Macaca mulatta: one gene and its partners. The protein of the gene in region 7 interacts with the protein of the main gene of each other region in a pairwise test. Links are inferred from orthologs where the notes say so. Each region holds a gene or a part of one and is shown on either strand. Other genes may lie near its edges. The genes, in order: GPATCH4, BRMS1, protein BEX2, SYTL4, UTP14A, TRIM29 and CEP70.

The links.
Region 1: the proteins of CEP70 (region 7) and GPATCH4 interact in binary tests that used the Homo sapiens proteins (3 or more experiments, as listed by UniProt). The two-hybrid records come from large-scale screens. The link is inferred for Macaca mulatta from reciprocal best matches to the Homo sapiens genes CEP70 and GPATCH4.
Region 2: the proteins of CEP70 (region 7) and BRMS1 interact in binary tests that used the Homo sapiens proteins (3 or more experiments, as listed by UniProt). The two-hybrid records come from large-scale screens. The link is inferred for Macaca mulatta from reciprocal best matches to the Homo sapiens genes CEP70 and BRMS1.
Region 3: the proteins of CEP70 (region 7) and protein BEX2 interact in binary tests that used the Homo sapiens proteins (3 or more experiments, as listed by UniProt). The two-hybrid records come from large-scale screens. The link is inferred for Macaca mulatta from reciprocal best matches to the Homo sapiens genes CEP70 and BEX2.
Region 4: the proteins of CEP70 (region 7) and SYTL4 interact in binary tests that used the Homo sapiens proteins (3 or more experiments, as listed by UniProt). The two-hybrid records come from large-scale screens. The link is inferred for Macaca mulatta from reciprocal best matches to the Homo sapiens genes CEP70 and SYTL4.
Region 5: the proteins of CEP70 (region 7) and UTP14A interact in a two-hybrid assay, tested with the Homo sapiens proteins (2 studies listed by BioGRID and IntAct). The two-hybrid records come from large-scale screens. The link is inferred for Macaca mulatta from reciprocal best matches to the Homo sapiens genes CEP70 and UTP14A.
Region 6: the proteins of CEP70 (region 7) and TRIM29 interact in binary tests that used the Homo sapiens proteins (3 or more experiments, as listed by UniProt). The two-hybrid records come from large-scale screens. The link is inferred for Macaca mulatta from reciprocal best matches to the Homo sapiens genes CEP70 and TRIM29.

What each region holds. Positions count from the first base shown.
Region 1 is NC_133406.1:110,323,317-110,327,393, forward strand, and holds the start of GPATCH4 (G patch domain-containing protein 4), read left to right. Parts: upstream 1-1,277; 5' UTR 1,278-1,309; coding exon 1,310-1,340; intron 1,341-3,636; exon of another isoform or gene 3,637-3,694; coding exon of another isoform or gene 3,695-3,710; coding exon 3,711-3,773; intron 3,774-4,077.
Region 2 is NC_133419.1:8,083,120-8,085,798, forward strand, and holds part of BRMS1 (breast cancer metastasis-suppressor 1), read left to right. Parts: coding exon 1-1; intron 2-1,015; coding exon 1,016-1,106; intron 1,107-1,306; coding exon 1,307-1,434; intron 1,435-1,593; coding exon 1,594-1,673; intron 1,674-1,769; coding exon 1,770-1,866; intron 1,867-2,428; coding exon 2,429-2,521; intron 2,522-2,679. UniProt on the Homo sapiens protein: Transcriptional repressor. Down-regulates transcription activation by NF-kappa-B by promoting the deacetylation of RELA at 'Lys-310'. Promotes HDAC1 binding to promoter regions.
Region 3 is NC_133426.1:109,951,033-109,954,525, reverse strand, and holds protein BEX2, read left to right. Parts: upstream 1-1,331; 5' UTR 1,332-1,738; coding exon 1,739-1,753; intron 1,754-1,902; coding exon 1,903-1,981; intron 1,982-2,358; coding exon 2,359-2,750; 3' UTR 2,751-2,993; downstream 2,994-3,493. UniProt on the Homo sapiens protein: Regulator of mitochondrial apoptosis and G1 cell cycle in breast cancer.
Region 4 is NC_133426.1:107,583,290-107,587,473, reverse strand, and holds the start of SYTL4 (synaptotagmin-like protein 4), read left to right. Parts: upstream 1-1,384; 5' UTR 1,385-1,501; intron 1,502-1,999; exon of another isoform or gene 2,000-2,093; intron 2,094-4,184. UniProt on the Homo sapiens protein: Modulates exocytosis of dense-core granules and secretion of hormones in the pancreas and the pituitary. Interacts with vesicles containing negatively charged phospholipids in a Ca(2+)-independent manner.
Region 5 is NC_133426.1:136,359,835-136,363,903, forward strand, and holds the start of UTP14A (U3 small nucleolar RNA-associated protein 14 homolog A), read left to right. Parts: upstream 1-1,269; 5' UTR 1,270-1,326; coding exon 1,327-1,352; intron 1,353-2,466; coding exon 2,467-2,542; intron 2,543-4,069. UniProt on the Homo sapiens protein: May be required for ribosome biogenesis.
Region 6 is NC_133419.1:120,798,998-120,802,497, forward strand, and holds part of TRIM29 (tripartite motif-containing protein 29), read right to left. Parts: intron 3,020-3,500; coding exon 2,927-3,019; intron 717-2,926; coding exon 618-716; intron 1-617.
Region 7 is NC_133407.1:41,523,804-41,527,303, forward strand, and holds part of CEP70 (centrosomal protein of 70 kDa), read right to left. Parts: intron 1,439-3,500; coding exon 1,351-1,438; intron 1,264-1,350; coding exon 1,175-1,263; intron 1-1,174.

The DNA of each region.
Region 1 (4,077 bases), on a different chromosome or scaffold from region 7:
TCTGGGATCCTGCATCTTTTTTTTTTTTTTTTTTTTTTTTTTTTTCTGGCTCACTGCAACCTTCGCCCTCCCCATCCCCCACCGCTGGCTGAAGGGATCCTCCCACCTTAGCCTCTGGGACCCACAGCTGTGCACCATCATGCCTGGCTTTTTTTTTTTTTTTTTTTTGGTATTTTTAGTACAGTCGGTGCCTCGCCATGTTGCCCAGGCTGGTCTTGAACTTCTGGGCTCAAGCTATCTGCCTGTCTTGGCCTCCTAAAGTGCTGGGATTACAGGCATGAGCCACCGCGTCTTACCCATCCTGTATCTTTCTCCAAGTTCCACTGGCCATGTCCTCCATCTGATCCCACCCAAAGTCCCAATTTTCCCAGGCTAGACTAGGTGTTCCCCGAAATCAAGACCTGTGTCTTAAGCACCCTTGTATCCCCCAGTACCAAAGGGACAAGTTCTGGCACACAGTGGTGAGTCAAAAAGTGTTTGATGAGGCCGGTCATGGTGGCTTACGCCTGTAATCCCAACACTTTGGGAAACCGAGGCGTGCGTATCACTTGAGGCCAGAAATTGGAGACCAGCCTGGACAACATGGCAAGGCCCCTTCTCTACAAAACATACAAAAATTATCCAGGCGTGGTTGTGCATGTCTGTGGTCCCAGCTACTCACGAGGCTGAGATGGGAGGATCACTTGAGCCCAGGAGGCGGAGGTTGCAGTGAGCCGAGATCGCACCACTGCACTCAAGTCTGGGCGACAGAATGAGACCCTGTCTCAGAAAAAATAAAAAATTTAAAATATATATATAATAATAATAAATAAAGTGCTTGATGAACATACTGAGATGTCTGGTCTCTAGGCTTTTACAAATAACTGTTCCTGTGAAGGCTGAGTATTCATGAGTATTCAACCCTGCAAAATCAGGACACAGCTATCACCCATTCTGCCTCCACGAATTTCTCAGGCTACTCTCAATGCTTCCCTAGAGTTTTTCTTCCTCGTATTTGTGCCTGGGACTAGCTCAGTGTAGGACACATAGCGTTCTTGGCATCCTGAGAGGGCCAGTTAGTACTGAAGTCCCTTGGCTGCTCAAGGAATGCAGGGATGAGGCAAGTGGAACAGCCTCGGAACCTCCGAAAATGGGCACACTTCAGGTCCCAGTTTCTATGGCAACCATACCGGCAAATTGTCCTCCGCAATGGTTTCTCCTGGGAGGACCGCGATTTTGGTTCCAGCGGACGTCTCTATGGTTTCGACAGCCTAGAAGGAACAAAACGGCATTTCCGGAAAGATGGCGGCGCACAAGTCAGGTTTGGCACATGTTTCCGAGGAGAGGACCCCTCATTGACGGTAAGGGGCTCCCTTCCCCCGAACGGTGGTAGTCGGAGCCCGAGCTTAGTAGCAAACGTGAGAGGAGCGGAGTATTTTTACCCAAGTGGCACTGCGGTAGGAGGGCTGGAATTTAGACCTCAGGAGGAAGGAAGCCTAGGGAAAGGGCAGCCGGCTCTTGAGGACAGCTGTAAGACTAGTGCACCTGGGGCCACTTCTGAAAACGCAGATTGACTGTAGAGGGGAGAGTGCCCAAAGTGTGATCACAGGTTTCAGAAAGACTGGGGCGCACAGCTTCTGTCCAGTTATCCATTGAAAATCCGGTAAAGCCATTCCTAACTATGCCATTCAGTTCAACAAATAACGACTGAATACGTTCTAGAATTCTGGCGCCGCGTTACGTGCTCTGGAGTTGCGGAATAAAGCCGATCTCTTAACTTCCAGGGCATGTAGTTTTCAATTACTGCGACAAGGCTTAGGCTGTGGTCTTACGGGAGAAAGCACAAAGAGCTATAAGAGACTGAAGAGTGTAGAGATGAAGAACATCAGTCCTTGGCCGGGCGCCTTGGCTCACGCCTGTAATCCCAGCACTTTGGGAGGTCGAGGCGAGTGGTCAGGAGTTCGAGACCAGCCTGGCCAGTATGGTGAAACCCCGTCTCTACTAAAAATACAAAAATTAGCCGGGCGTGGTGGCATGATCCTTGTAGTCCCAGCTACTCGGGAGGCTGAGGCAGGAGAATCGCTTGAGGCTGGGAGGCGGAGGTTGCAGTGAGCCAAGATTGTGCCATTGCACTCCAGCCTGGGCAACAAGAGCGAAACTCTGTCTCAAAAAAAAAAAAAAAGACAGAGGACCACTTTGGAGTCAGGCGACTCGGGCTCATTCCATCTCCAACATGTAATTCCAGCTCCATCATTTGCCATGTTACCTTAGGCAAGAAACCCAGGCCTTGTTTTCCTCTTTTGCAAAATAAGAATAATATCTATCTCACAGGACTATCAAGATTAAATGAGTTAAGCCCAGACAGTGGCTCATGCCTGTAATCCCAGCATTTTGGAAAGCAGAGGTGGGCAGATTGCATGAGCCCAAGAATTAGAGACCAGCCTGGGAAACATGGCAAAACCCTGTCTGTACAAAAAAAAAAAAAAAAAAATACAAAAATTAGCCAGGCGTGGTGGCATGTGCCTGTGGTCCCAGCTACTCGGGAGGCTGAGGTGGGAGGATTGCTTGAGCCTGGGAGTTTGAGGCTGCAATGAGCCATGATCATGCCACTGCACTCCACTCCATCCAGCCTGGGTGACAGAGCAACCCTGTCTCAAAAAAAAAAAAAAAAAAAAATCGACTGAGTTAATATGACAGTATATCAATATGTGTAATCCACCTGTTATGCATTAAGTGCTCAATAAGAGTGCCCTTCCTAAGTTGGACACTTTCAAAAGGGAAACTCCAGCCAGACTGAAATACTGCAGTGGTGTGTGAGAAGTGTGTAGCCCCCACACCAAGAGGACAGTGTAAATGCTGAAGCATAAGTACAGGATCTGGTCTCTACCAAGTACCATTATCTTATGACTTAGGTTAATAAGCACCTCATTAGCTTTGTTTTTACAAGGTAATATATTTTGAGAGATACTATGTAGTGGTAGAGTATAGATTCTGCAGACAAGCTGCCTGGGCTTGAATTCTACATGTTAACCTGTGTGACCTTGAAGTTCCTTAACCTCTTTAGGCCTTACTTTACTCATTTGTAAAATAGGCTAATATTTCCCTGAATGGGCTGGGAAGATTAAATGAAATAATCTTTGTAAAGTCTCAGCACATCCTGGCATGTGGTGAGCACACCATAAATTTAGGTATCAGAATTGACACCATTCATCCTTGACTTCTCTATATGCTGGTCTTTCTGTAGCCAGATAGGGAGCTCCCCAAAGACCAGGCCACCTCCTTCCTCTCTCTCGCCCCAGGGCTCAGGAAAGAGAATTCTTTTTTCTTTCATTTTAATTTTTTATTTTTTTCTAGAGATGGTTTCACTATGTTGCCCACTCTGGTCTGGAACTCCTGGGCTCAAGTGATCCTCCTACCTTGGCCTTCCAAAGTTCTGGGATTACAAATGTGAACCACTGCACCTGGCTGCTTTATTCTTTTTATAAGAGGGGGTTCTTGCTATACTGCCCAGGCTGGACTCAAGCAATCCTGCCTCAGCCTCCCATGTAGCTGTGGCTACAGGTGTGTGCCACTGCACCCAACTAGCGGAGAATTCTTAACAAGCAGTCAGGATGGAACTGATGGCTGTTTGGGCACTTTCTCCTTTCTTCTTAAAAGGATGATATCACCTCTTCTTCTCTGGTGAGAGTCTGAGGATAGAGACCTTTTTCTCACCATGAATGTCACCCCAGAGGTCAAGAGTCGTGGGATGAAGTTTGCTGAGGAGCAGTTGTTAAAGCATGGATGGACTCAAGGTGATCCCCATGGGGTCTCTTACATCCCCCAACTCCCTGCCTACCTTCTGCCCAGGGGAAAGGCATCATCCTGGATTACCGCCCTCCTTTATTTAAAGGAGGAAAAGCTAGTTTAAAGGGAAATTTGCAGAAGAAAATTTCTGACTTTCCCAGAAAAGGGAAAAAAGGAAGAAATTTGACAGTGGATAATGAAGAAGTTGTGGTTGGGAGGACTAGGGGAGAGAAGAAGAGACATGGCCTCTCTTCCAAAAGAATTATGAAGGAAGAGATAGTTCAGGCTCACACAAAGGCAGGGGACTATATG
Region 2 (2,679 bases), on a different chromosome or scaffold from region 7:
GGTGAGCCCCTACACAAACACACACACACACACAGCCCCCACGCACAAGCATGCACATACATGCACATACAGCCCCTAGACACAAGCATACTCACACACAGCCTCTGCCACAAGCACACACACACAGCTTCTACACACAAGCATGCACATGCACACACAGCCCCTTCACACAAGCACCTACACACAGCCCCTGCACACAAGCACATGCACACGCACACACAGCCCCTACACACAAGCACATGCACATGCACACACAGCCCCTACACACAAGCACGCACGCACACACACAGCTTCTACACACAAGCATGCACACATACAGAGCCTCTACACACAAGCACGCACACACACAGAGCCTCTACACACAAGCACGCACACACACACAGCCCCTTCACACAAGCACGCATGCGCACACACACAGCCTCTACACACGAGCACCCACACACACACACAGCCTCTACACACGAGCACACACGCACACAGCCCCTTCACACGAGCATGCACACACACACACATAGCCCCTACACACGAGCACACATGCACACACACAGCCCCTACACACGAGCACACGTGCACACACACACAGCCCCTACACACAAGCACGCATACACACACACAGCCCCTACACACGAGCACACATGCACACACAGCCCCTACACACGAGCACACATGCACACACAGCCCCTACACACGAGCACACATGCACACACAGCCCCTACACACGAGCACACATGCACACACAGCCCCTACACACGAGCACACATGCACACACAGCCCCTACACACGAGCACGCATGCACACACACAGCCCCTACACACAAGCACGTGCGCACACACAGCCCCTACACACAAGCACACACACACACACACACAGCCCCTACACACAAGCATGCATACAAACACACAGCCCCTTCACACAAGGACGCATGCACACACACACACATGAAGGACGCACATGCACATATGTGGGTACCCACCACCCCTCCCCAGAGCTAGCCCTTACTGGCGTCTTGTCCCAGAGATGGACGATGAGGACTATGAGCGGCGCCGCAGCGAGTGTGTCAGTGAGATGCTGGACCTAGAAAAGCAGTTCTCGGAGCTAAAGGAGAAGTGAGCATGGGGACACCTTGGGCTGGGTCTGCGAGGAGCTGGGATGAGGAGGTGGTGGGCCTGGTACTGGGCAGGCGTGGTTGGTGCCCAGGAAGTGCACGCCTAACACAGGGCTTGCTGTGGAATGGGTGCTGGGTACGTGTTTGCCCAAGAGCAATAGGTGAGCAAATGGGTGCACGGCTGCCTTTTTTACCACCCAGGTTGTTCAGGGAACGACTGAGTCAGCTGCGGTTGCGGCTGGAGGAAGTGGGGGCTGAGAGAGCCCCTGAATACACGGAGCCCCTTGGGGGGCTGCAGCAGAGCCTCAAGATTCGCATTCAGGTGGCAGGTCTGTGGGTGGTTCTGTGCCTTTTTCCCCTCCCAGAACCCATGGCACCCTGTCCCCTTCCTCTCTTGTTCCTCCCTGGCCTCACCCTTTGCTTTCAGCCCTCCTGTGTGGGCACCAGGCTCCCCAGCCAAGCAGGGCCCCTCCTTCCTTTCTCTGCAGGGATCTACAAGGGGTTCTGTCTGGATGTGATCAGGAATAAGTACGAATGTGAGCTGCAGGGAGCCAAACAGCACCTGGAGGTGGGCCTGATTGGGCACACTGGGGACAAGGCGGGGCGCAAGGCCTGAAGTGAGCTCTCCCCATCCGTCCTGCTGAGCTATTGCCCCCTCTTCCAGAGTGAGAAGCTGCTGCTCTATGACACACTGCAGGGGGAGCTGCAGGAGCGGATCCAGAGGCTGGAGGAGGACCGCCAGAGCCTGGACCTCAGCTCTGGTGAGCGCGAGAGCCCGGGCACCCCGGCCCTGGGCTTGGCTCTGTCAACGCCCACCCCTTTCTAGACTTCAGATGTCCTGAAGTCAAGGGGACAGTCAGAGGACCTGCCTCTTGGGGTCAGTGTGAGGACTGAAGGAAACCAGGCCTGGAAAGGGCCTGGCACACAGTAGGGGCTCGGGCAGAGTGGGTCTCCCTGCCCTCTTCTGCCCCTGCTCTTTCCAAAACAGGTATCAGTGTGACATGCAGTCCCATGCAATAGCTCTAGTCCCCTCCACGTTCATAGTACCTGTGTTCATGTGGAGTCCTGGGGTGGCAGGAATTGTCATCATCCCACTGTCCACTAAACAGATGAGGCTCACAGAAGTGCAGCGGCCTCTTCCCGGGGTTGCGCAGCTGTGCGGGCAGGACCTGAACAGCCCTAAGGGGCTTCCTACCCCAAGCCCAGGGTTGTGATGGGGCAGGGGATATGAGGCCAGGCTGGCCCATGGTGGGGGCAGAGGCTACAGAAGAGAGAGTGTCCTGTGGGCCAGCACCCCAGTTCTAACTCTGGGTCTGGGGGCAGAATGGTGGGACGACAAACTGCACGCCAGAGGCAGCTCCAGGTCTTGGGACTCCCTGCCGCCCAGCAAGAGGAAGAAGGCACCTCTGGTTTCTGGTATCCTTTCACCCAAGGTGGCCTAAAAGGTGGCAGGATGTTAGGGTCACCTCCAGACCTGGGGGAGAGGTTTGGAGGGGACATGGAGGACAGTCGCACTAGATGCACTTGTGGTTGCTTGGTGTCATGTGACCATGTCCAGGCAAATCCAGCTGTCA
Region 3 (3,493 bases), on a different chromosome or scaffold from region 7:
GAACTTATATAAATGCAATCATGCAGAAAACAATTGTGGCTGGTGTCTTTATAGATACAATTTTTTTTTCATTTTTTTAAGATTCATCTATGTTACTGTTTGTATCAGTAGCTTGTCACTTTTTTATTGCTTAGCAGCTTTAAAATGTATGAATACATCACAATTTGTTTATCAGTTCACTTGTTGGACATTTAGATTTTTATCAACTTTGGGGCTATCATAAAGGAAATTTCTATGAACTTTCCTATGCCAATATTTTTGAGAAAATATGTTTTAAAATCTGTTGGGAAAATTCCAAAAAGTGGAATTTCTAGGACATATGGTAAGCCTAAGTTTAACTTTTTAAGAAACTGCCACCAAGTCTTGGAGTGGTTGAACCCCTCACCAACAATCAATGAGAGTTTCTATTGTTACTATTTTCAAAAGTGCTTGGGACTGTCAGACATTTTAAGTTCAGCAATTATAATGGGTGTGCAGTGGTTTTTCATTCTGGCTTTATTTTACATTTCCCTGATAGTTAATGAGGTTGAGCATCTTTTCATGAGCTCGTTGGTAATTTGTGTATGTAGTTTTGTGAAATGTTTATTCAAATCTATTATTTGCCTTCTTGAGTTTTCGAAGTTCTTTATATATGCTCTGAATTCAAACCCACTGTCAGATACACATATTGTGAATATTTACTCCCAGCTTCTCACTTCATTTTCTTAACCATGTGGTTTAAATGGTAGTTTTTAATTTTGATAAATCCAATTTCTCATTTTTTTTTTTGTGATCTGTTCTTTTTCTGTCCTAAGGGATTGTTTTCTCAAAGATTATAAAGTTTTTCTCTATGTTTTATTCTAGAAGTTTTCTAATTTGAGTTTTTACATTTAGGTTTATGACCATTTTGAATTAATTTGTGTATAGTATAGATAAAAGGCAAGGCTCCTGTTTTTCCTTTAAGAATTCTGTTATTTCAGCACCATTTGTTTAAAAGACTATACTTTCCATATCGAATTACTTTGACATCTTTGTCAAAAATTAATTAACAGGCAGAAGGAGGTGAATCCTGGCAGCCAAGGGCAGAGAGAGGCAAGTCCCCAGAGAAGTGGGAATGGCCAACAGCTCCCTGAGAAGATGCCTTCCGTCCTTCCTGGGCAGGCAAGGGAAGTCTCAAGAATACACAAGAGAAGGGAGAGTGGCAGAGCCCAGGCTGGGGATGTTAAAAGGGACTCACGGTGAGGATGGGGGCGGGCCCGAAAGTCCCACCTGACTCCAGGCTGCAGGAGGGAGCGTGGGACGGGGGCGGAGCCGCTGGCGATGACAACAGCCCCACGTGATCGGCCAACACTGAGTCTTGCCTCTCTCTGGCGTCGGAGCCGCCGTCGCTCGCTCCTTTCTCGGCTGTGGTACCTGTTCCCGGTGGCCCTGAGGACGTGCGGGCCAGGTGCGGCCCCGAAAGCAGGAAGCGGAGGGGGAGCAGGTAAGGGAAACGGAGGGGGTCCCTGGGGTTGGTGTGGGGGAGCGGCCCCGGCCTGCGGATGCCCCACCCCCGAGGAGCCGCGCTGAGACGCAGCCGGTGCACGATGCAGCCCCGGGGCCCCGCCGCGGGACCGCGAGCCTTTAGTGAGCGGAGGAGTGCCTGGCCCCGCGGGAGCCGGCGGTCCTGAGGCTGCGGTCCTGAGGCTACGGCCCTTCTGAAGCACCTGCCTCCGCCACCAGCGCAATCTTTTCTGAGATCCCTGCTCCGCCCTTCTTGATGCAGAAAATGGTGGTCAGCTTGGGGGGCGGGGCGGCTGAGGCGCGGGGAGAGGGCGGCGAGGAGGGCCCGGGCCCGGCGCGGGGAAGGGGCCGGGTGGCGGCGGGTCCTCGCTAGTGTTCCGCTGCAGCAGCCTCCACTCTTCCCACCCCGGCCGTCTGCAGGTCTGCGAGGCTAAGTGTCGAGGCGACGCACCTCACGTCGAGAATCGGGAGGAGGAGGAGACTGCAAGGATAGGCCCAGGTCGGTGCGAGGGACGGTGGCGGGGCGGGGGTCAGAACATGACGAAAGCCCAGTCTGGGACCCCAGTCGGTGCCTTCACTGCTACGCTTCGCAATCCCCCACCCCCACCCCTTCTTCGTCCTCCATTTTGGCGCCTGCAGAGGCCTGGAGATGGATCTGCAGAGAAGATGGTGGGCTTTGCGGGAGAGAGGGGCGCGGACTGCCCCCCCCCAACCCCGAGGGTACACGGGGCCTCTCTGGTGGGAAAAAAAAAATGAAATTTAAAAAAGGCCTTTGAAATCCAGGGCTCTGAATTTTGAAAGGTGGGTAGTCGGGCCTCTGTCCTCGGTGCTGATCAGTTCACCAAGAATTGAGTCCGTTTTCTCTCTGTCTCATAGGAGTAATGGAGTCCAAAGAGGAACGAGCGTTAAACAATCTCAACGTGGAAAATGTCAACCAGGAAAATGATGAAAAAGATGAAAAGGAGCAAGTTGCTAATAAAGGGGAGCCCTTGGCCCTCCCTTTGAATGTTGATGAATACTGTGTGCCTAGAGGAAATCGTAGGCGGTTCCGTGTTAGGCAGCCCACCCTGCAGTATAGATGGGACATAATGCATAGGCTTGGAGAGCCACAGGCAAGGATGAGAGAGGAGAATATGGAAAGGATTGGGGAGGAGGTGAGACAGCTGATGGAAAAGCTGAGGGAAAAACAGTTGAGTCATAGTCTGCGGGCAGTCAGCACTGACCCCCCTCACCATGACCATCACGATGAGTTTTGCCTTATGCCCTGAATCCTGATGGTTTCCCTGAAGTTAATAGGGAGACCCCAGCTTCCTAAACTTACACATTTGTGGTGTACCTTTGTCGTAAACCTTTTGATGTTACCTATTTCTTGTGGGTCTCCTATTACCAGCTTCAAACTGAATGTTGTTTTGACCCAGTTTGTAAGTTTCTGTCAGCAGGGGAGTTTTACCTACTGCATGGAAAGATGCTCATTATATATTGTGAAGTTAATAAAATAGTTTAAAAAACCATTCTCTGCATTCTTTTTTACTTTAAATCTTAAATATGAACATAAACAGTCATATATGTACACATATATACACATATATAGAAAATCGTGTTTATCTTTGTGGTAGAATTAAGAGGGAGTTTATTCTTGCTTATCCATAATTTCTTATTTTTTAAAATGGAACACGTATTACTTATAAAAAGCAATGTGACCACCTTATAAAAGCAATGTGAGCACTTAATAAACACTTGTGACAGAATCTCAATTTTAACTTGCTTCTGGGATCTCTTTTTAGAAATGTTTGAGAGACACATCTCTTTGAAGATCATAATATTTATCAGTAAGATGAAGACAATCACCTCCCAGGCTTATTGTATGGACCAGAAAAGGTAATGAGGTTGTAAGCTTTCTCCCAAGTTCTTGTTCTTACTGACATGCATGACCCAACCCTTTAGATATTCCCTTCTGTTATTAGAGGAAATCTCCAAGGTGAGGTCTTCCCTATATTCACAAGTCCAGTGG
Region 4 (4,184 bases), on a different chromosome or scaffold from region 7:
GAATTTGAGGTGTCTGCAAGACATTCAAGTGGAGATGTCAAGAAAACAGAACTCAATAAAGCGGTCTGGGTAGAGTTATAGAATTAGAGTTGTGACCATATATACGATAATTAAAGCCAAGTGAGTGAAAAAGATTATTTGGGGGAGGGAGTATATGTATCCTAGCCCTGAGAATGTCTGACTTTCAGAGGTCAGATAGCAGAAGAGTGGCCTACAAAGGTCACTGAGGAGAGGGCAAAGGAGTAGGAGGAAAAGCAAGAGTATAATGTCATAGATGCCATAGAACATTTCAAGGAGGAGGAAATGGTTAACAGTGTTAAATGTAGGGGAGAAGTCAAGCAAAATAAGGACCAAAAATACCTTACTTATTTGTGGATTTATCGACACTGAGGGTCATTGGTTTTTTATCTCATTGAGAAGTTTCAGTGGGGGAAGGAAGCCAGACTGCTGAGAGCTGAGAAATGAATGAGACGTAAGGGAATAAAAATTGCAATTTCACCTGTAAAGTATGTTTTCAATACATTTGCCCATAAAGAGGACCTGAAGAGGGACCTCCTGTGTAGGGAGGATATTGTTTTAAGATGGTAGATACTTGAGCATGTTTAATTGCTGATGTGAAATGAGGGGGAGAGGGATGGGAAAGAGAGGGAGGGGAATCTGCAATTACTGGGGAGGTATAAACATTTTAAAGTCTATTGATATATACTGCTCACATGCTTTCTAAAAGGGTTTTTAACCAACATATGCTCCTATCAGCAATTATGAGAGCTTGTTTGGTGGCTACTTTGTCATCATTAAGTGTTATTTAAAAAATAAAAAACAAAACTCTTTGCCAAATAATCTCATTATTGTTCTAATTTGCTTTTCTTTGATTACTAGTGAGTTGAATATTTTAACCAGTTGTGTTCTTGAGTGTGTATGTGTGAATTTAGTCTACTCCTTTGCCCAAAACGTTTCTATTTTAGACAGACAATTTGCCATAAAAGGCCATAAGTTAAAGGATCAGAATGGTATCATATTTTACTTACCCAAATTAGATAGTTCATATTCTTTTATCTCCTTAGAAGTGTGAGACAATTTGACAACTTTTGACTCAGCAGAATGAAAGGGGCAGGTGATTTCACCATCTAAGGGAACGACCAACAGATGGAAGTAAGGGGGTGGGGAGGCACGTCTAGTGTTAGACCCCTATCCTCGGTCCCTAGGCTCCCACTCCTAACCTGGAAGGACATTCATTCCTCTTGTGTCTCAAGGCTTTGGGTCCCAGAGCTCCCTTTCGGGCTGAGCGGCCCCCTACTAAGGAGCCCGGGGCGCTGTGCGGCCCCTTTAAGAGTCCAGCTCCTCCCAGCTCCAGGGAAAGTTGCAGCTTTTTCCGCCTCCCGGGAGGGTGAGAAGGGCCGGCCGCCGGAGCTGGGTGGCGATCTTCCCGGAGCCAGAGACCCTCCCTCGAAACCGGCACTGGGACGTCTAGCTCTCTGGAGGCACCTGTTGCAGGTGACAGGTAGGTCAGCAGCCAGCGGCCGCCCCCTCGCCCTCGGTTGGGGGCTCCTTCTGGACCCCCAGCTCCTTTTCGCTGCTGAAGCGCCCCCACCCCCATATCGGGGTCGTGCGTCTTCCCTACCTGCTCTCTGCTCCCCTAGTTTTTCCTTCTCCCTAGCTGACCTCGTCTTCCCTCTCCCCGTCCGCCTCTCCCGACCGCACCCCCCAGGCTTGGACTCCCGTCTGCTTGGGCGGTCCCTCCCGGCCACTTTTCTTTCTCTAGGGCTTCTTCTGGCCCCTTCCCTGACCCACCTAGCACTAATGCGGGCTGTGCCCCTCTGGGAGCCGCCTCCCCTCTCCTCTCCGGCTCCCCTCGCGCGGAGTGCCCGGGCTTTTCCCGCCAGCCCGAGCTGGTGCCCCTCCCGAGAGCTGGCCCTGGGGGCGGGGGCGGGGCCGAGCTCCTAGCGGGAACTGCGCCCTCCAAGGCGTGCAGTCACCTTTTCGTGGGTTTCTCTCGCAGCGCTTGGCCGTCGAGCGGGGTCGCTAACCCGCACTCTCTTCGGACCTCCGACATCTCGGCGTCGGCTTCTCTGGCGTTGGCCAGTCAGCCACAGGTAAAGGCTGGAGGCTGGTCGGCCGGAGTCCTGCCTCAGTGGGCTCCCTCTGCGCTTGGGGCTGGGGACCTGGCTACGTGCTGTGGAGCTGTTTATCTTGCCGCTCTTCAAGCAGGCTGTGAGAGACCTGGTACTGGAGGAGGGTCCCCGAGATCTCAGAAGGGGCACAGAATGCTTCTGTCTCCTGTGATGGTTTGTAATGGGGCAGAAAAAGGTGTTCCTCCAACCCTTAACATTGAGATGGGATTTGGGGTGGTGAAATCATTTGGTTAGAATTCTGGTGGCTTGAAAAGTGGTGAGTTTCTAATTAACCAAGCTTTTCTTCCCCCAGTACCCTTCTTCTTCAGGACTAGAGGACGTAAAATTCCAGAGTACTGCTCTTGGCAGGGTTGACCCTAGACCTTGTATATTTGTGGCAAAAAATGAGTCTTCTGTACATCCTGGACCTCCTATATTTAACTGGCTTCTTTTCTGCTCTTTAAGCTCCCCACCCCCACCTCTCATAAATCTATTAATATTGCGGTATTAATGACTTAAGACTTTTGTCGCTGTGGGAACAATGCTCAATGCAGAGATGTGGCCTTGATGAAGTTTTCCGCATTTTTGGTGGTTTGGTTTTTAGCACCCTAGTAGAAAAGCACACCAACTTGGCTTGTGAGGCTCTGTCTGGGCAGGGGATGAACATTTCTGCTAACACGATTTCAGGTGTCTCACTCTTGGTCAGAGCAGTGAAATGGAGCTCGGAGGCCTGTTCTGGGGTAACTGATCTGTGAGTATATGTAGCATTCCGGCTCTCTGAGCTTGTTAGGCTCTGGTTGTTAGGCTCCATTGAGCCAGACACTGTGATAAGTTCTTTACATAAAAATGCAATCCTCCCAGTAACTCTATACAATAGGTGCTACAGTTATAACCATATTATGATGAAAAAGAGACTTAGAGGGTAAGTGCCTTGCCCTCACAATCTCGGAGGCAGAGCTTGTGTTCCTATCCTGTCACACCACCTCTATTGTCTTGGATGTTGGGAGCACTGAATAGCTCATGAATGAGGACTAAGTGATTAAAAAATTTCCTTCCAAGTATATGTTTTGCTCCTTGATTCCCCCTTAGATTCACTGCCGAGACTATGGACTACTTACCTTACTGATGTCTTACCCACTTCATTTCTGACATGGGCCAGTTGCCACATTACCACTATAAGTACACATCCCTGAGTGTACCTAGATGAGTGAAATCTCCCGGGTTCTCAGCTCTGTGGTAATTGTCTTGAAGTTAGAGGAGGGTAACCCTGGATTCCAGGGATGTGCGCCTGACTCAATTTCTTCCTCTCCTGCTGGCTAGGGGAGAAATAAGTGATAGGGATTTCCTGACAGCCATACCAGAGAGCTTGAGGGTGATCGTGTGCTAGTTTTGTCATGGGATGGATGGAGTACCACAGGCAGGGATAGGAAGAAAATGTCCTCCCTATTCCCAGCTCTGGGACCTTGCTCAAACTGTTCCTTTTTTTCTTCCTAAAAAGCTAACTTTCCTCCCCCATGCCCATTCCCCTGACATTAATTCCTATCCATCCCTCAAGATTGAGTTCTAAAGTCACCTTCTTTGGAACGGCCTTACTGAACACATACTTCTTCCCCCAAGCAGAATTGCCAGTTATCCTGTGTCCTAAAGCACTTTGTTTACACCTCAGTACAGCCCTTAACACTGCTTAGTTGTTTTTCCACCTGGAAGGCTGTAAGTTCTCTAAGGGCAAGGTCTGGATCTTGGAGCTCCCTTTGTCTTAAATATAAGATATTGGCAAATATTTGTGCCAGTAACCGGATGTACCATGCCATTCCTTCAAGGTGCTGAGGTGTAGTGATGGTGGGGTTGAGAGTACAGAAGACACCTTCCTGAGGCGCTTGAAATACCACGGCTACAAGTTTGCCCTGATCACCCTATTTAAACGTGTAATCCCTTCTCTGAACGTTCCATATGCCCTTTCCCTACCTTATTACATTTTTCTCGCTTATTGTCTGCCCTGCCACTCCCTCACCCACCATAACATAAACACCCTGTGGGCAGGGATTGCTGTCTGTTGTATTCACCGGTAGACTT
Region 5 (4,069 bases), on a different chromosome or scaffold from region 7:
GGAAGGAAGGAAGGAAGGAAGGAAGGAAGGAAGGAAGGAAGGAAGGAAGGAAGGAAGGAAGGAAGGAAGGAAGGAAGGAAGGAAGGAAGGGAGGAAGGGAGGGAGGGAGGGAGGGAGGGAACAGACAGTTATTAAATACCAGACAAAGTTCTAGGAACCCAAAGACTGAGAGGTATCCATTTTATTTAGCAACTTTGGGTGTCGCTGATCTTGTCCAGAGCAATTTCTGTGGAATAATGGGGCAAAAGCAAAAATGGGAATGGATTAAAAGAATGAAAAGAATGTTCTTGTCTATTATTTTTCTACAATCATCATATATATATATATACACACACATATATTAGGCAGGGCCCAGTGGCTCACGCCTGTCATCCCAGCACTTTGCGAGGCCGAGGCGGGCGAATCACTTGAGGCCAGGAGTTCCAGACCAGCCTTGCCAACATAGCAAAATGCCATCTCTACTAAAAATGCAAATATTAGCCGAGCATGGTGGCAGGCGCCAGTAATCCTAGCTACTCCGGAGGCTTAGGCAGGAGAATCGCTTGAACCTGGGAGGCAGAGGTTGCAGTGAGCCGAGATCACGCCATTGCACTCCAGCCTGAGCGACACAGCAAGGCTCTGTCTCAAAAATAAATAAATTCTTAAAAGTTGATGGGAGAAAAAAAGTTGTTTAAAATAATTTTTTTAAAGTTGATAGGAGGTGAGGAAGCGTAGCTACTGACGGCCCATTCTTGGATAAAATATTTTGACTCAGGAAATGAAGAACAGAGCTGCAATTACAAGGGATCGAAAGATATTTTTCCTTAAATGGAAGGAAACTTGTTTTGTTCACCATCGGATCTCCGGGGCCCGGCACAATCTGGCCACTTAATGGGCATTCAATAAACCCCCGAGCTGGCTGGTGGCCGGCTTGCAGGACGCTGTCGCACAAGGACGGGCGCTGGAGTCTTTCCTTCTGGATTATGTAGGGACGAATGAAGGCGCGGGCTCAGTCCCTGACAGCGCAGTACCTTCGCCCTAAGCTAACCCACCCTGGGCCGCGTGGAAACCAGGGACCAGGAGGACAGACACCGGCGCACCAGAGAAATACGTGGTGGGTGGAGAAAAGAAAGCCCCACCCGCTGACAGCCGTTTCATCTCCAGCCTCGCCGTTTTACGCAGGCCCCTCCCTACACGGCTCCTGCTTCTCACACGCCTTGTACGCAACGGAACTGACGTGTACGTCGCGAGCGATTGACGGAAACAGAAATTGCTTTGCGGCCGGCACGGAAATTGCTTTCCTTCGGCTTCCGTTCTTGGTCCATGTGAGAAAAGCTGGCTGCTGAAATGACTGCGAACCGGCTTGCAGAGAGGTGAAGGGCAACGAGGGGAGTGGGGATTCTGGGTCTCGTTGGGGGCCGGGTTCCCCAGCTTTTGGGAAATGGGCGCCCCCTTTTAACAGATGGCAGTGGTTCCCCTCAAGAGCTGGCCACTTGTTCCTGTTTTCCGCGATCCAGCCTTTAAAGCCCTTTTAATTTCATTCACTTACTCCGCTCCTCAGCTGTATAGCCGCATCCCTGTTGGTCCTGATGCTGTTTCTGCCTCCCCAGCTCATTTACTATGTTTCACATTCCTCGTCACGTGACCCCTTTTTCTGCCTCTGCCGCGGCCGGATTTAATCCTCTGCGCAGGCAGTGCAGGCGTTATAAACTCCCCGAATCTTCGAAAGCTTTGCTGACTGGAGTCATCGCCACGTTTTGGCTCCTATGATGTTTTGTGCCTCCCCTCCCCGCCCCCGGAACTAAATGTAGTCCGTTTAGGAATGTTGGCTTTGCAAATACTAATAATATATGCTGTTAAGTAACGGTAAATTTTGTAATTTGTGGGTACCAGTCTCCTTAGTTAAGCACCTACTTTGCTAAGCAGGCCCCAGGGAAAATGGCTTACTCAGCTGCTTTCGACCTGTTTCTCCATTCCTGGGAACAAGTGATCAAGATGACACTTTTGATCAGGCTGCCTATCAAAGAGTCAAACATGTGGAGGATGCTTAGAAATATTAATCGTGAAACTGCCTTGCCTCCAGGGCTAGCAACAGCGTCTTTGGCCATATTATTCTAGGGTCTGACATTTTTACAGCTTCCCATAGGTCATAGGAAATGTTGTGCCAATCACTGAAAAGTGTTAGCTCTTTTACATGCAGTTTTGAGTCAGGCATCATTCCTGGAGGTGATGCCTGACATCAGTCTAAATTTCACGTCTTGACAAGTTTTCAAAGGCGTTCATGCTGCTTTATATATCTTCTGAGGGATAGGGCTATTCTGTGTTGAAGTTACAATGTTTACGAGATTGTTTTAATAGATTAGACATTGCTTCAAATAACAATGTTTCTCTATTAAATTTCAACTTTTATTATAATTAAGGGATACATATACAGGTTTGTTACATGGGTATATTGCATTCACATTTCTTTGTTGCCTCTTTTAACAGCCTTCTGGCTTTGAGCCAACAGGAAGAACTAGTAGATTTGCCAAAAGACTACCTCTTGAGTGGGAGTGAAGATGAGGTGGGTGACAATTGCTAAACTGCCTTCAAAATTAGGGTAGAGAGCACATTCCTGGAATGGAAAGGTGTGACAATATTCTATGTATTTGTTCAGGTCTCTCAAATTAATTACAAATGGTTAGTGTTTCATATATAAGTTACTGTATCATATTAAGTGCTATAAGGATTTGGAAACTAAGTTACACTCACTACCCGCAAGTTGCATAAGTATAATTTATAAAACCAACCAAAACAGGCCCGGCTGGTGGCTCACGCCTGTAATCCCAGCACTTTGGGAGGCCAAGGCAGGGAGATAACCTGAGGTCAGGAGTTCAAGACCAGCCTGGCCAACACGGCAAAACCCTGTGTCTACTAAAAATACAAAAATTAGCTGGGTGTGGTGGTGTGTGCCTATAATCCCAGCTACTATTGAACCCAGGAGGTGGAGGTTGCAGTAAGCCAAGATCACGCCACTGCACTCCAGTCTGGGCAATAGAGCAAGACTCCGTCTCAAAAAAAAAAAAAAAAAAAAAAAAAAGACTGAAACACATGGTCCTCATATGATATGATTTCCCAAGTTTGGATTTCTATAGAGCGTTATTTAATTATCTGACTGAAATATGCATATGTATTTTAAGCTGGATCTCCAACAGATGCTATAAGAATTCCAATTCTTTATTTCCCTTACAAAAAAACACTTTTTTTTTCCCTTGGGTTGGGGGCACACAACACATCTATTTTAATAACAAGGAGGGTGTTTTTTTTTGTCTATTTTTTTCTGCTTGTCGTGTTCTTCGTAGGAAAAGCCAACTTAACTTGGAGGCCGGGTGTGGTGACTCACACCTGTAATCCCAGCACTTTGGGAGGCCAAGGCGGGTGGATGACTGGAGGCCAGGAGTTCAAGACCAGTCTGGCCAACATGGTGAAACCCCGTCTTTACTAAAAATACAAAAATTAGTTGGGTGTGGTGGCACTCGCCTGTAATCCTAGCTATTCCAGTGGCTGGGGCAAGAGAATCACTTCCAGGAGGTGGAGGTTGCAGTGAGCTGAGATCACACCACTGCACTCCTTCCTGGGCAACAGAGCGAGACTCTGTCTCAAAGAAAAAAAAGCTAACTTTGTAACTGGCTATGACTTACACTATATGTCAGGGTTTCCATGTTAGATCATACTATATATTTTATACAGAAACACCATTTTAAGCCCTTTTTGTCTAGAAGCAAGTTAGGACAGACACATGACATTAGCTCCCTTTTAGTTTGAGCTGGAATGCTTGCACACCAGACCTCTTCCAATTCCCCAGTTCTCTACTGACCAAAAGAACAAGAGATTTGGCCGGGCGTGGTGGCTCACGCCTGTAATCTCAACACTTTGGGAGGCCAAGGCAGGCAAATCACAAGGTCAGGAGATCGAGACCATCCTGGCTAACACAGTGAAACCCCATCTCTACTAAAAATACAAAAAATTAGCCAGGTGTAGTGGCGGGCGCCTGTGGTCCCAGCTACTCAGGAGGCTGAGGCAAGAGATTGGCATGAACCCGGTGGTGGAG
Region 6 (3,500 bases), on a different chromosome or scaffold from region 7:
GGCAGCTCCCGGGCTCTCATCTGGCCCCTGTATCTATGAGCTCAGCAGTTTGCCTGAGTTGCACAGCTTATAAGCAGCAGTCAGGATTCCAAACCAGGTGCTGCCGGACTCCCAAACCCAAATTCACGTTTTTTCTCCCCGGCTCTGTGGCCTCTCCCATTTCACTAGCCAGAGACTAGGGCCTAGAGAGAGGCAGGAATTTGTCAGTGTGGCCGCCACCCAGGGTTAGGACGGCAAGCCCGAGAGGCCCAGAGCAGGTGCGCTCTCTGAGCTTGGTTACAAAGATGCTAGTCTAAGGCGGGGCCGCCCTGACTCCCTCCGCCTCAGCCCAGACAGACCAGAAAGGAGCTCTGGTTCACAGCACAGTGAAGGCACTCTCAGTGTCAGCCATCAGCCTGCAGGGAGGCCTGGGAAGACACAGGCCATGACCTGGAAGCTGAGGTCCTCAAGAAACAAGCAGGGTCTGTCCTGGGCCAGATCTCTGTCCAGTGAGAGGCTGTGGTCACTGGACAGCGAGGTGAGGGAGGAACTAGCAGCTCAGGGAAGAGACCCAAGCAGGGTTTGGGAGGTGTGGGGCAGCTGTGGAGGAAAGCAGGGGCCAGGGTGGGCAAGCTCACCTTTCAGGGAGAAGGAGGAGCTGCCTTGGACGACGGGCAGGTCATTGTCAGAGCTCTGAATGCTGGAGGAGTACTCCCAGACCCGGGAGGTGTAGTTACCTGGCAGGGCAAAGAAGGGCTGTCAGGCCCCCACAGCTGGGAGGGGGAGAGGAGGCAGGACCAGGACACAGCCAGGTCTGTGACTCTCCAGCCGCCGGCCACAACTTAACCCAGGATGCCACTTGTGATCCCAGTGATACCTCACCCCCATCCTTCTGCCACCATAGCTACCTTTCTAAAATATAAAGCGTAGTCCGGTCCCTGCCCTACCTAAAGGCCACTGTCCTCAGAATAAGGCGCAACGTCCCAAGCGCAGCCCATGGCTCTGTCGTGAGTTGCTCTCCCCAATCCCCGCCACACACCCACCATCTCCCACTTCTTGGCTTTGCCTCTATCCTCCCTCCACCACTGGACATTCAAACCAGGCTAAGTCTCAGTGTCTGAGACACTCCAGCTTCTCTCCTGCCCCAGGCTATGTACCCAGCCCCTGTCCTCTGCCTAGGACACTTCTCCTGCTCCCCACCCTCGGCGATTCAAGGGTGGGGTCTTCAAGTGTCAGCTTACATGGCACCTCCCCAATGTCTGCATGTGCCTCAGCCCCATCCCCACATCATCCTGCACCCCCTACCCTCTGGGTGGCAACTATATGTTCAATTGTCTGTCTCCCGCAGTGAGCTCACATGAACTAGGAATGTGCCTGTCTGGCCCCAACATCACACCTGGTGCCTGGCACAGAGCCTGGTTCCTGGAAGGTGTTCATTGTATGGTTGATGGACAGAATGCATGAACCAATGAACAAATAAATACAAACACATCCTAAAACTTGGGGATGAGACAGTTGATAGTTGCCAAGTTGAATAGGCTAGCACACGCCTATGTGCAGGCATGTCCCATAGTCCAAAGGAGAAGGCAATGGGAAGGGGGTGGGAGGAGCTGCTAGGGCACTCAGAGGGCACTGGAGTGGGGGGCTCAGAGCCCCCGTGGGTGATGCACACTTCTCCAGCACCCCCATCTGCCAGGCTTGAAACATCAGTGACCTCCTTAGTCAAGCTCACCCCTTGGCTGCTTGTGGGGAGGGCTGGGGGCTGACTTTCGGGCTCAGGGGTCAGAGATGGCTGGGGCTGGCCACCTGCCCCTGTGCAAAGCCCTCCCACAGGGATCCCAGGCAGCTTCTGTAGCAAGGCCTCAGTGAGCACGTCTAGCCAGGGCTCTGCGAGGCCAGACACCTTGCCCTTCTGTTCACTCATGCCTTTAGTCTCTCTCTCAACAACTGCTTCCTGACCCCCTCCTACTTTTGAGCTCTGGGCCTGTAGCAGCGAACAGGACAGACACAGCCCTGTCCTCAAGGTGCCCATGGTCTACTGCATATGTGGAGGAGGGGGTGCCACTGGTCACGGCTGTGAATCCAATCCTGGATGTAGAGGCCCAGGCATTGCTGTGGTGCCCCTGACCCTCCAGTCTCCATGGCTCTTGTCCTCACAGAAGAGTCCTCCAGTGCTATGTCTGGGGCGGGGGCTGACCCAGTCCCCTCCTTCCCCGTGCATGGCTGGCACGTGACCAGGAGCCCCCAGGACAGAACCAAGGGCTCCCAGAACCAGGTCTCATTGAGTGGATGGCCCTGCCCCGGAGCAAATGGTCCCCTCGGAGCACTGGGCAGAAGGAGACCCTGAACTTAGCAGCTCCCCCTAGGGAAGCCACGTCCCCACCCCCATTTCATCTCATCTAGGTCTTAAGGTGCTGCTCACTCGCCTCACCTCCTGGAGCTCCAGGGCCAGTCCCATTTCCTGCCATGCCTTCCTTTCCAGTCACAGCCAAGCTAACAACTAACCACTGTACGACTTTTCACTGCAGAAGTATGCAAATCAGTAGATTCTCTGTGGGCCCTCGTGCCCTCATACTGGCTGGGGGGCTTCCCCACACTTAAGCCCAAGGTGGCTGCTCAGCCCCAGTTTTCCCCAAATCCTTCCTCAGGAATCAGAAGAGCACACGGACTCAAGGATCTCCACGGATGCCGAGATTCCTGGCTATTTTTCCTCCAGCCTAACTGTGTGCCCCATGCATGTACACACACACACACACACACACACACACTTTAAGCTCGGTAGGTAGGACCCCTCTCCACCCGTGTCTGGGCCCCCTACCCATCCCAGCTTCCCACATTCATCTCACACTGGGGTCTGAACCCCGTGCCCCCTGGCCCCACCTCTATACCCCTCCTGCCTGCAAGTCCCCATGAACTCTGTGCACCCTCAAGCTGAGCCACCACCTACCTTTGGTGCCATAGAGATTGTTGAAATTCTTCTGGGTGTTCTCCTTGGTGAAGCGGCCGGGAGATGAAGGCTGGTATGATGTCCGGGCCCCACCTGTGAAGCAGATGAAGGGGGCTGTCATTGCAGAAAACGGTCTCATGCAGGACACCTTGTCCCCAAAAAGTTGCCCAAGTGCCCATCACAGGACCTGGATTCCACCACTGAGAGAGGTCCTTCGGGTCTGACATAAGGCAATCAACTAATTTATCACCAAAATTGGCATGCTTTTGAAGAGTAGAAGGGCTCTGTTAGTAACCATGAGGAGAGCATCAGCATAAACCTGGAGAGGCCATGGCAACCACAGGGGCAGAAGCGGTGGGAGATCAGAGCCTCACTTCACAAGTGCTTTCCTTTCCGCACACCTGGGCTCTCACAACAGCCTTGTGAGGAAGCAGTGGGGACTGATAACCCCACTGATACCCAGCTGAAAACAATGAGCTCCCCATGTGTGTTCTGGTCCTCTATTACCTCAGTCCCTCCCCACCTGACCCTCTCATAACACCACACCCCCAGTTCTGGCCCTGCCAGTCCTTCC
Region 7 (3,500 bases):
AAAAAAAAAAGACTGAATCTATTTTAAGTTTTTTTTTTTTTTTTTTAAACAGGGTCTCGCTCTGTCACCCAGGCTGGAGTACAGTGACATGATCATGGCTCACTGCAGCCTTCCTGGGGTCAAGTGATCCTTCCACCTCAGTCTCCTGAGTAGCTGGGACTACAGTCAGAGACCACCACACCCGGCTAATTTTTATATTTTTTGTAGAGAAGGGGTTTTGCCATGTTGCCCACTCTGGTCTCGAATTCCTGCCTCAAGCAATCCGCCTGCCTCTGCCTCCCAAAGTGCTGAGATTACAGGCGAAAGCCACTGTGCCCAGCTTATTTGAAGTTCTTAGCTAGTTTTAACTTCTTCCATGTGGACTCCTATTTTCTCATTTCCCTTGCCTACCCGTGTGTTCTTGTTCCTTTCATAAGTTATCGTGGGAGAGAACTGACTAAAGTGAGAATAAGAATATTATGTACTCATGATTAGCTTTAGAGCAAAGGAGATAGAATGGTGCATTTAATATTCCAAATTCCAGTATATGTTTACTTTTCAAAGGATGAAGAAAAATTGACCGGGATGCAGTGGCTCATGCCTGTAATTCCAGTACTTTGGGAATTCCGGCACTGAGCCTAGGAGTTCAAGATCAGCCTAGGCAACACAGGGAGACCCCATCTCTACCAAACAAAAAATTAAAAAATTAGAGGCCGAGCGTGGTGGCTCATGCCTGTAATCCCAGCACTTTGGGAGGCCAAGGAGAAAGGATCACTTGAGGTCAGAAGTTCAAGACCAGCCTGACCAACATGGCGAAACCTCATCTCTACTAAAAATACAAAAAATAGCCAGCCGTCGTGGCGCGCACCTGTAATCCCAGCTACTCGGGAGGCTGAGGCAGGAGAGTCACTTGAACCTGGGAGGCAGATGTTGCAGTGAGTCGAGATCGCGCCACTGCACTCCAGCTTGGGGGACAGAGTGAGACTCTGTCTCAATTAAAAATAAATAATTTTAAAAATTAGCTGGGTGTGGTGGCTCGCACCTATAGTCCCAGCTAAGGGACTTGATTAGTCTTGAGCACTAGAGGTCAAGGCTGCAGTGAGACATGATCACACCACTGCACTTGGCCTGGGTGACAGAGTGAAACCCTGTCTCAGAAAAAAAACAAAACAAAAAAAACTTAAGTTTCTCTCACCTGGTTTCCAAATCTTTTTGGAGGTTCAGCTTTTCACTTAAAAGTGCATCAATCTGAGAGTTTGACTCCTTGAGTTGATTCTGTAATGACTGCAACACATTTCATAGAAAAATAATTAACTTTCTTAGATTACTTACTTTATTAAAAAGTATTTATTGGTTATGCAGTCCCCATACCATTAAAAGGCCTTTATAAGTTGGTGAGGCATCCAGACTTCTGTAGTCATTTTCTTCTTCTGACTGACTTTCATCTTCTTTATATTGCCTATGAAAATATGCATGCAGTATACTTATGAAAAATCTATCTTCAAAGAAAAAAATCTAATTAAACCAACATAATGAGGGTTTAATCATCTAAACATGAATTAAAATTAATTCAAATTTCCTACTTGTTCTCATAGAGAATGGTATTAGAACACTACTACTATCTATTATTATAGGACATACAATATCCATTTACTCTCTTTTTATTTAGAATATATGATCCATGAGGACCAGAACTTTTGTCTTATTCACCACTGTATCTCACTGCCTAGAAAAACTATGGACTATAAGAGGTGAAAAAGCACTGCCGAATAAACAAAACGAAACATGGGTGGAACATCCAGGTTCTTTCAAAAAATGCATTCACATACTATTTTTTCCTTCTAGTACTTTTAGGTAACCAAAAAACCTATATGAAAAAATGCAGATCATAAGTGGAAAAAGCAACAGATTTAATAGTCTTGGTTCAAGCCTTGATAACACCACTAACTAGTTGTATTATTTGAATAAATCAATCTCTCAGAATTTATTTTCTCATCTGTAAAACAGTATCTGTCACATCTACTTTACAGGACTGATGTAAAAAGCAAACGAAAGATACTGAAGGACTCTGTGAAATGCAAAGTGCTAGCAAATACATATGATTATTTTTAGCAATCTTGATTAACTATCACTGTGATGTCCTATATGGTAACCAACAGCTACATGAGCTAGTGGTTACCGCTTAACACTTGAAATATGGGTAATGCCACCAAAGAAATAAACTTTGAATTTCATTAAATCTTAAATTTAAAAATTGAAGCAGTATAAAATACTTTTCTGTTAAGTACAACTTTATTGTTTAAGGACTACATTTTGCTTTAACTGTTGCATAAAGTATTACTATTGTAGCCTAGTGTGCACTGGGTACATGCATGATTTCTAGTATTACACATAAACATATCACCAGTCTAGTAAGTTATCAATGGATTGATTCAGTTCAAATGATTTATTTATTCCCAATGTGTTTATTTTATGCATGTGCATATAGTCTGATGATAAAAACAACAACAACAACAAAAAACTTTGGACAACACTGGCCTTAAAAAAATGGATAAGCAGAGAAGCTTTTGCCACTGCAAGAGGCCCATGTCCCGCCTGTCTTCTTCCTTTGGTCTTGCTGCTTCAGTTCTACAGGTTTATAGCTCTTCTCTTGTGCTTCCTGTTTATCCTACTTAGGCCTCCAAATCTTAGCCTGTCTTCCCCTCTCTCCTCTTTCATCTTCTTTACTAATGTAATACTTGTCAATGAATTGTTACATCCTCTTTTTACAGTACTCCTACTTCTTTAGATGATACTTATATCCTATTGGTAGATCTCAAAATCTATCCTGAAATTGCCAGAATCTCACTTTCAAGTTAGTACTCACTCTTAAAAAGGAGACTGAGTTTATAATATAAACTCCTTTCAGTCAATGAATCCTGAAAAACCCCCTCCTTAGGAGACTCTTTTTATTGCTGCAAATTTTCTCATTTGTAGAATATTATTTATTAATGTATCTCATATTTTCTTCCTATCCTCCACTTCCCTCAATAAGACATTCAATCCAAATATCTGACCCAAGGATAATCTGCATAGGCCAAAATACTTTACTTCAGCTAGACAACTAATGAAAAGCTTTTTAAGCTAAAAAGTGATTCTTCTCCAAGTCGCTTGTTCCTCAACCCCAGATTTTCATTACAAACTCATGACAACTAAATTCAACACCACCACTCCAATGGCCTCAATCCTTTTGTCACCTTTAGTCAGAGAACCCCGTTTGCAGAACTCTACAAGTACCTCTCACATCATATTCTACATGAAAAATTTCCTGATGGCTATGTTATGTTAAATCTATTCTACTCTTACCAAAAACCCCAAATCCCCTCTCTTCATCATCTAGATCAGGGGTCAGCAAACTGCTGTCTGCAGGCTATATTCAGCAGGCTGTTGGTTTTGTAACTATTTTTATTGTAACACACCTGTGCCAATTCATTTACATATTATCTGTGTCTGATTTTGTGCTCCAACAGCCTAGTTGAGTA